3 linked regions of the Drosophila melanogaster genome follow. The protein of the gene in region 1 interacts with the protein of each later gene in a pairwise test. Each region holds a gene or a part of one and is shown on either strand. Other genes may lie near its edges.

What was found. The genes of interacting proteins can lie anywhere in the genome.
Region 2: the proteins of CG3557 (region 1) and Cpr35B interact in a two-hybrid assay, tested with the Drosophila melanogaster proteins (one large-scale study listed by BioGRID).
Region 3: the proteins of CG3557 (region 1) and CG13186 interact in a two-hybrid assay, tested with the Drosophila melanogaster proteins (one large-scale study listed by BioGRID).

What each region holds. Positions count from the first base shown.
Region 1 is NT_033779.5:2,384,220-2,387,617, reverse strand, and holds CG3557 (uncharacterized protein), read left to right. Parts: upstream 1-1,825; 5' UTR 1,826-1,915; coding exon 1,916-2,111; intron 2,112-2,166; coding exon 2,167-2,786; 3' UTR 2,787-2,857; downstream 2,858-3,398. Other genes in the region: PIG-Wa (phosphatidylinositol glycan anchor biosynthesis class W a), read right to left, coding at 2,887-3,398.
Region 2 is NT_033779.5:14,423,755-14,426,759, reverse strand, and holds Cpr35B (cuticular protein 35B), read left to right. Parts: upstream 1-1,570; 5' UTR 1,571-1,628; coding exon 1,629-1,640; intron 1,641-1,702; coding exon 1,703-2,347; 3' UTR 2,348-2,445; downstream 2,446-3,005.
Region 3 is NT_033778.4:12,079,583-12,082,617, forward strand, and holds CG13186 (uncharacterized protein), read left to right. Parts: upstream 1-1,693; 5' UTR 1,694-1,735; coding exon 1,736-2,167; 3' UTR 2,168-2,475; downstream 2,476-3,035.

The DNA.
Region 1 (3,398 bases):
TTCTCTGTCCTGGATTCCTTTCGATTTGCTCAACACTTTTTTTGGCTTCGCATTGATTGCTCCACAATTGCGCAATTTCGCTCACTAAAAGCATTTCAAAGGACCTGTGGAATGGGGCTTCCTCTGCCTGCTGCCATGACGCATAAGCTCCGATAAAAACTGTTGTTCGATAAGCATTTTGTTTGCCATGTGCCTGAAGTTGTTAGGGCGTCTGTGCCCCAGCCCAAGTCACGAACTTCTGTGGTAACGCAGTGGGCTGCTGTGAAGGATTGAAGGCGGAGAAACGCTCGAGGAAGCCATAACGAATCAGTTTTTGATGTGGAACTTTGAAAAGTTCTATGGAAATTGTAAGAAAATTCAGAATGCATGGAAGGAGGCGATTCAATCGCAAGCAACTATATATTGCTTAATGCTAGGGAAACTGAATTAAAACTGAATTTAAGTCCTTTAAACAGAACCATGTAGGTGTCCTGCCACAGAGGAGCTATAGTTCAGACATATATTGCACATTCTCCGCACATTTGCCGCTTGGCAAAAGGTCCTGCAGCTTAGTCACCACACTGCCACACACATGGACACACACACCCACATGTACACATGATATTCATTATGAACGGCTTAAGCGATTTCCCCAGGGCCCAGGAGCTTAGTCCTTCACGCAGCAGACACACTCATGCATATGCACAGATATATTTGGGTTTTTATTTATTTCTTTTTATGAAAGCCCCGCTGAATGGAATCCGATTTGACGAGCAGTCGAAAAAAGGAACTCGTCAGCAAATTGGCAGCTCGAAAAAAGATGCGGTAAGCAGAAAAACCAATTCTCTACCTGATTGTTGGCCACATCAATCAGGATGTCATGTTCTACATGCTGGGGAAAAACATGAACATAATAATTAACGCTCATAATTCGACTCTCCCCAAAAGTGGACAACAATTCGCTTCTTTTGCTAATGAAAATAATCTGTCATCAAAGCCAAAAAGCCACCCCCTATGGTAACAGGTGCTCGTGCTTCCCGCTCTCCTGTTTTGCCTCATCCTGTTGCTTTTTCCAGGACACGCCTCCTGGTACACTATATGATTATATTTGGTTCCCAGCTATTAACTCTGCATAGCTTGTGGGCAGGAAGGGTTGAAAGGTTGGCGGACGGAAATTGCATTTGTGCTGGCCCAAATCAGATAAGATTCACCGGCGACGCCCTCGTCCTTGGCCAGGATATGACATTAAAAGCGCATCAAAGTCGAATGGCGAGCAGAGGCTACGCATCAGCAGCGGAAACTGTTGCCGTAATTACATTCGAGTCGGATAGAAAAAATTCCAAAGACGTATGTTCGGCAATGCGAACGCCTGATACCCTTTTCAGTGAGGAATTTTTGAGGAATCTTATCATTAGTAATCTTGATCTTAATTAATCTTCATCAAGGTATCTAAGTCACGAAATGAAAATGTTAACTTAAAACTCTAAGGTTTGTAGATAGGTTTTCGTATAGTTAAACCTCCTTTCGATGTCCTTTCCTTTGACAATAAGAAGCACATTGCTGGTCATTTGCGCGGTCCTTTAACCCTGGTCGCTTGTGAGCTTAGCTTCCCCCGGAGGCTGAACTTTGATTTGGTCTTTGTTTGCGCCGTTAAATTAAATGTCCTTGCCCAGCCGTTCGGGATCTGTGCTCATCCTGGATGCCCAGGGACAATGCAAGCAATTCCAGTCATTTCCTTAATAGAAATCTTATCTTTTGTGACGCCTTCGCCGTGTGCCTAAGCCGGATATCGCACCTTTGACATCTGCCCATGGCTCCTGACAAAGCAGGTCCATGCTAAGCACTCAAATATCTCTTACTTCCGGTCCGGCTTTTTGGGAGAATATCATTTGGAAAAATTGGGTGTTTATTTATACCAACACTAGCAGACGAAACCATGAAATCCTGTTGTGCCACTCAGACGACGCGTTGTGAGTGTCCAACGGGTCTCAGATTGGGGAAGAAGCCGCAGGCTCCACTCTTCGACATGCTGGGCCCGCATCCAGATGAGGTCATCATGACGATCCTGGACCGCATCCTCTATCTTTCGGGCGCCACGAAAATAATTCCATTGCTGGAGTTGTCGAATGAAGGTCAGTAATCGAAGGAAGTAATATAAATGCGTCCATAGATAAAATATACCCGTAGGATCAGCTTTTAAGAAGGAATCCTGCCCACCACCAGCACCCTGTGCACCAAGCCCTTGCAGTTCCGGAAGCAGCTCGGCTTATCCATCTTCATCGGCCTGGAGTACATGCTGCTCCAAGCCGTCGACTATCTGTTGTTATCCCAAGCCAACGAGATGCTGCGCCAGTCCAAAAGCTCCACTAGTGCCCTGCAGTCCAATGGATACTCCGAAATCTTCCTGCTTCAAGACCGCGAGTCGGCTTAGTTCCGCTGCCTGTTGTCCCCGCCAGCGTACTCCCAGGGTGGACTTCGATCACCCGGCGGAGGATATTCCGTTGAGAAATAAGGCGGGCAGCGCCACGATAAGGGAACAGATAAGCCGATCAATTTCCACCTGCTCGGTGGCCTGTCAACAGCTGAAAGACAAGCTTACATCCCAGATTGCCCAAGGACACAAGGACCAAAAGTGGTTGTGGACCCGTTTGATTCGTGGCAACGATGGGTGCATGGTGTACGAGGTGTACAAGGATTCCGATGTAGACAACTCTCCCTCTAAGATCGGGTCGGAGGCACCCATCATCCTTTTTCTAGTCATGCCGAATGGTTGCATCATGCCCTTTGAGTCTATTTGTGGTCCTTAGGAAGATGGTACTCGTTTTGTATACTTTTTAGCCTGTGGTCAGTTAAAAATAAACTTTCACCCGTACTTTGTATTTTGCTATTTAATTTATACAACAAATACTAAGCTACACGTATGCCTTTTTTTAGCATAAGGAAGACCACTCCAGCACAAACAAACATATAGATGGACAGTATAACAACAGACTCCAGATCACTTCGATGACCCGGGTTCAGGGACATGTTGACCATTCCCGTAAGGAAATTGGAGATCATGAAGTGAGTCAGACCGTTCATGTTCAGACTTTCAACAAAGGTGGGCAAGGATATGTTCTTTTGCCCGTCATCTCTAATTGACTTTTTAGAACAAATATCTGGCCGTACGAGTTTCAGCTCAAAGAAGAACGCGTAGATCACAATTAGGCTTAGGGAGACAGCGAAAATCCAGATTACATAGCCAAAACTAAAAGTTACACGTGCTATGCCCGTTAGAAAAGAACTTATAAAAACCAATTTCCAACAGAGAATGGCCACGAAAAGAATACTCTTTAACTTTCTTATTAGTCCTTGATAAGTCAGGCTATCACGGGAAGTATACCACTTGGCAAAGTAAATGCTGAGCAAATAGAGAGCCA
Region 2 (3,005 bases), about 12 Mb from region 1:
TCCTGTATTTACCCTTTTACCCAGCCTTTTGGGCCCGGCAATCAAGCGTACTTGTTGTACGACTCCAGCAACTGGCCAACCGGCCAAAACGACCGACCAACCGACCAACAACTTTAGCGGCCATGACACAAAGATTGACAGCATGTCGTCGCTGTTTGGAAGCCTGATTGACATGAGTAATCAAGCAGCCGAAATGTGCCCACAAAACGCAGCCAGCAATGACACTGACAACGAAACCAGCCAACCAAACCACGCAGCCTTTCGTTTGCCCCTTTGACTGACAACGATGAGTCGACAGCGACGGCAACTGGCAACTTGCAACTTGCGACTCTCAACTTGCGGCAGCAACATTGCGGCTCTGTGCCACGTTCAGACCACTGCCATAAGGGCAATTTCGATGATGAAAGAAGGGGGCTTTCACTGCTCCCAGATCTCGACTTTTGGATGCATAAGCCCAGTTACCATAATCAGTATCAATTAAACCACAACTGTTGCATAAAGTTATCTAAACACAGCAGAAGGAGCATAATTTAAGGCATTGAGGGTACATAGAGGGTACCAAAAGTAAAAATAGTAATAAATACTAATAAATACTTAGCATCATATAACTGATGGTCCTTGAATCTGTTAGCCATGTTCTTCTATCCCTTCTTTCTGAACATTCTCATCCAATTATTACATTCCCAGCTAATTCACGCATCAAATGCAAATTGCATTCAAGTATGTTCCATCCAGCCACGTAGCTCTTCTTGCCAGACTTGAGCACTTTCAAAAATCCGTATCCTTTGCGGATTACAAAACAGAACCAATATCCCCATTGTCAACTCGAATGTGGCCTTTGATGAAGGCGACACGACATTGACAGACGGTAGCCGATTGACTGCTGACAGGCGGACTGGCGGGACAACAGTCCACCGAAAGTTGGGATCCCGATCGGGATCGGGAAACGGGACTGGGATTGGGATGGGATGGGATTGGAATTGGGATTGAGGAGAGCAGACAAGCCTTTCCGATCTGGCCAAAATGAAGAAGCCGCTGCCGAGGGAGAACTGCAAACTGCAATTCTGATGACTTTTTGTCAGGCCTGATTGACGTCAACGACTCGAAGACGTTTGTCAGGCATATAAATCTTTTGGCTCGTTTGTTTCTTGGCTATGCCCACATATACCAATCCCAATCCAAATCCGACTCCAAGCCGGGGGATTATAATGGCCGACAACGACAGCGATGCGATGCATAAACAATGCCACTTTAAATTGGCAATTGTTGCGACAGTAAATTTTACAATGAATTACTACACTGCCATTCTTTTCTTTCCTCATTTTTATGTTTATTTATTTTTTTTTTTTACGGATTTTCGAAACAACAGCTAAATAAAAGGGTCGAACTGGCAGTCGAATATAATTGCACGTCTCTGGGGCGAAAGTACGACCTGATCTTGAACTGCAAATTGGGGCGTAACTAAAGACCGATTTACCAATTCTTTTTTGAAAGTTTAACCTATGGGTTCGATTTATTCCAACTATAAAAAGGCCGGGTTAAAGGTGTTTTAGGTACAGTTCACTTTGGTCTGGAGATCAGACAACAGTAGTCTAGCTAAGATTAACTCATAAACTAGCTGCGGTACCATGGCTCAAAAGGTGAGTTCAGCAAAAAAGGATAACAACTAAAGCAAATTATTATTCACCTCGATTTTCCTTAGTTTTTCATCGCCTTTGCCCTCTTGGCCATTGCGGCTATTCGGGCAGCTCCTTTCCATGGCCACGAACACCACGGTCATCACGGTGGAGCCACCAGTCATGCCTCCGTGCATCTAACATCGCACGACGATCATCACGAGGAACATCACGGTCATCATCACGACCATCACGGGCATGATGATCACCATGACTCCCATGCTGAGTATGACTTCCAGTACGGCGTCAAGGATCAAAAGACTGGGGATGTGAAGTCACAGAGTGAGTCACGACATGGCCACACGGTTACCGGACACTATGAGTTGATCGATGCCGATGGCCACAAGCGAACTGTCCACTACACGGCGGACAAGCACAAGGGATTCGAGGCTCATGTCCATCGCGAGAAGCTCCACGATCACCACCAGGCGGAGCACCATGGCCATGGACACAGCGGCTACGAGGGCGGACACGTTGAGTTCGAGGAGCACTCCTCGCAATCCGGACACGACTATGGCCACGGACACGAGGAGCACGGTCACGGTCATGGTCATGGACATGGTCACGGAAGCAGCTCCCACAGCTATTCGCTGAAACAGGAACACGGACATGGGCACGGCCACAGCCACGGTCAGGATCATGGTTTCGAGCACGGACACGGTTACCATTGAGTTGACCCCTAAGCTATACAATTGTTTATCAATCGTTTATTGAACTCTTACCAAATACCTATTGTTGTTATACCAAAATAAATCAGGCAAATATTTTCAAAATTGAAATAATTATTTGATTTGAAATGGACAAGAAGTGTAACTAAAGTTTCCCTAAAACCTATTAAAATCGAATTATAAAGTTTCTATACTTACCAACGAACTATTAACTTAAAAAAGAAACAAATCACAGTAGATAGCTCTTTTCGATACATTTGGAATATTTAAACATTTCAAATTATTAGTGAAATTTTAGCATATTTAGCATATGGTGATTTATGAATTGAATAGGCAGGCATTCGCGACTCAACACCAAGACGAGAATCGCATAGACCGTAATTTGGGTCAGAATCAGTAATGTGCGACACGACAGGCGAGATATATCACAAATTCGATTATTATAAATCATATTTGTACAGTTTATCCATAAATTAGCCCGCATATCTATCTATTCGCTGGCTATTTCAGGTGGCTGAAACTTGTATTTTTTATGCAAGCATACACACATATTGTATATATGCGTGCACATGGCGATTTTTTATGGGCGATTTCTTTTCACTTCTAGTGGTGGCAATCGGGTTTTCGGAGTTGAAAGTCCTTTATTCATCCGCGCACACCC
Region 3 (3,035 bases), on another chromosome or scaffold:
CGCTCGCCGATCGACGATCTCTGCCGCTGCCGCTGGCGACGTCGACGTCGACGTTCAAGTTCTGTTGTATTTCAAAATGATGCAAGCAGCAAATTGTCGTTTTGATTTTTTAAAAATATATCTGAAGTATGTGCAGACATGCGTATGTGGGATACATATACACACGCTGGCACGCCTATTCAGAATAATAAATATATTTAAATATTTGTTGCTCTTGGCGCTGCCCCACTGAAGCCGCAGCATCGATGATTATTTTTCCACAGCGGAAAAACAGCAGAAAAAAAACTCCGAGTGTGCAGATACATTTGTTGAAATATTCTTTTTGGCTCATTTGAATATTGCTTCAAAATGACCCTAGTTTTGAATACACAGTTTATGCGCATAATTAGTATGTGTGCAAACGCCAAAAGTTGCATTCTTAACCCCACAACGAATAGATTTCTGTTGTATGTTTCACTGTGACGTCATTGTCACTGTTGTTTACAATTGCGTTGTTGTTAATTTGCAAATTGCATTTTCATATACATTTTTGGTTTTTTATTTTTTTAAATTCCCAGCTCTTTGCTGCATTTTGTATGCTTTCATTTCGGTTTTATTTGTGGGCCGATGTTGGGAAAATTGGAAAATTGCATAAATAAACCATGACCCTCTGGGTCAGAGGGGGTTGGGGGGGATCAGGAAAATGCGGGCCACGTGTGGGCAGCTGAAGGTAAAAAATCATTCAGCTTCAGCCACGAGAAATGGAGAAATAAAATGCAATAAATGACCATTTGCAATCTCGCAATCCCGCAACCAATAAAATCAAGCAAATAAAAGAGTGTTGCAATCATGTTTACGCTCCAAAATAAGAATTTAAATGATTCCAATTAAAAATGCACAAATTATATAAGAAGACTATGTTTGCTCTTAAAATCAGTTCAATTAGATGTCCTTCAAACACTATTAAGAGACTTGAAAATAATAGGGTTTGCGATTTCATTCTTCATTTTTTTATGAAAACAATCCATTGATTTGGTATTGGTATCTTCTTCCAGCTTATGATAAATATCAGCGTATTTTGTGATAAACCTACATTCAATGGAATCCGTAAAGAATATCTGATAGTCGTCGAAATGCTCTCATCGTATAATTTACTTGCTTTAAATACTCGATTTTTATGTTTTCTCCCATTGTTTATGCATGTTTTTGTGTCCAACAATATATTATTGTTATGCATAGAATTTGTTGAGTAGCTTTTCTGCATGAATATAGACAGTGCCATAAATTGACGTCTATATTGGAGCTTTGCATATATACAAAACAAAAATCTATATATAATGAACAAAATTGTGGCTACCCAGCCAATGGAAGCATTTTCCCCTGCATCTATACAATATCGTTTTTTGTAATTTTTTCAAAGGCGGCTGCGTTGTCAGTCAATGTAGCCAAATTAACAAACGAACAGCGATTCTTTTCGTATGCGTGCCACCAAAAGTTGTTGACTCTTTCGGATTGTCATGCATTTTAAAAATAGGCGCAGCAAAAATATTCTGGACATCGTTGCGCACTTTGAAATGTACGAAAGAAGATTTATGGTTCACAGTACTTTTGTACCAGAGAATCATAAGTGAACCAAAAAGCAATCAATCAAAGCAATTATGAATTCTAGGATTGTCAACATTCGAAATAAAAATGGGTTTTGGTTATTAACAAAATCACTTCGAAATTGTGAAAGTAATCTAAAAAAAAAACCACAATGCCACCAAAGAAGCCGGCAAAAAAGAAAAAGGACGTGGACTGGTCCTCCGATGAGCATTTCTCCAAGGATCGTTCCATGATCTACATCGAGCACACGTACGAGTGTCCCATTTTCCAGACCAAGGCCGACGAGTGCGGAACATTCTTCACGCAACGGATACCGGAGCGCAAGTTCCAGCTGGTGAAGAATCGAAACGGACGCCAGGTTCCGCGGGAAGGAGCCTTCGAGATAGGGTTCTCGCAAAATGCACGCACCTCGGAGCATCTGCTGTGGTCCGGCTTGGAGAAGGGACCGCCGCGTCGGGATAAGTTCCCACTGGACTACGAGGCACTGGTGCCCGATGTGAACAGGATACTCAAGAAATTCTATCCCGACAAGGCGGTGGGCGTGGACGCTGACGACGGGGATGAGGAGAAAGAGGACATGTAAACATTTGCCGCACTTTGTTGTCTGAATTATTATAAAGTCTTTACCATAACAATGGCTAATACATGGCGTGAAAAGTAAACAATCAGCCAGAGACCTGTTGGAGCAACTTTAAGACGTCATCCACCCACGCGGACAAAATGCTCGGCGATTAGTGCGATTCTTCTTTGGCTTTTGTGTGTGTAATATTGCTGGTATTGTTGACTGACGTACTGACATCACACTTTGACAGCTCCTTTCAAAAGTTAAATGCTTAAATCGACCAGAATAATTAACCCAATACAATGCTGCCACATTAGCAGCCACACGATATATATGTGTATATATATATTATTATTACTGCACGGGGACATTAGCGACGCGTCCTATTGTCTGGCTGAGAAATCAGGGCAACTAAATCGGGACATGTGGTGTGTAGTTGGTAGTGGGTGCTACTATCTCGTTCACTTGGTGTTGACACAACAAATACCCCGAAATACATTTTCAATGTACACAATAGAGGACGAGTAATCCAAACAATTTAAATTGAAAGCTGAATTTGAAACAATAGACAAAGGGCACTCACATGCTAGCCGGCTTTTAAATGCTCTTAAAACTATAAAGTGAAAACTATACGAGCAAATCAATTTCCTATAAGCTTTTAGCTTGCATTTGCATACAATAAATGTGCAATCTATATGTTGCCTTCAAATCAGCATGACGCCCTAGTTGCTTTACATAAATAAAGTGCAAGAAATGGTATTTTCATTTGCTGTTCGCCTTTGGATTTTAATCCAAACCCTAGTCCTAGAGTAACATTTCCAAAAAGAGCAGCAGAAAACACATCCACATCCAAATCCATTGCGGATGTATTTGAAAATTGCAATGTGCC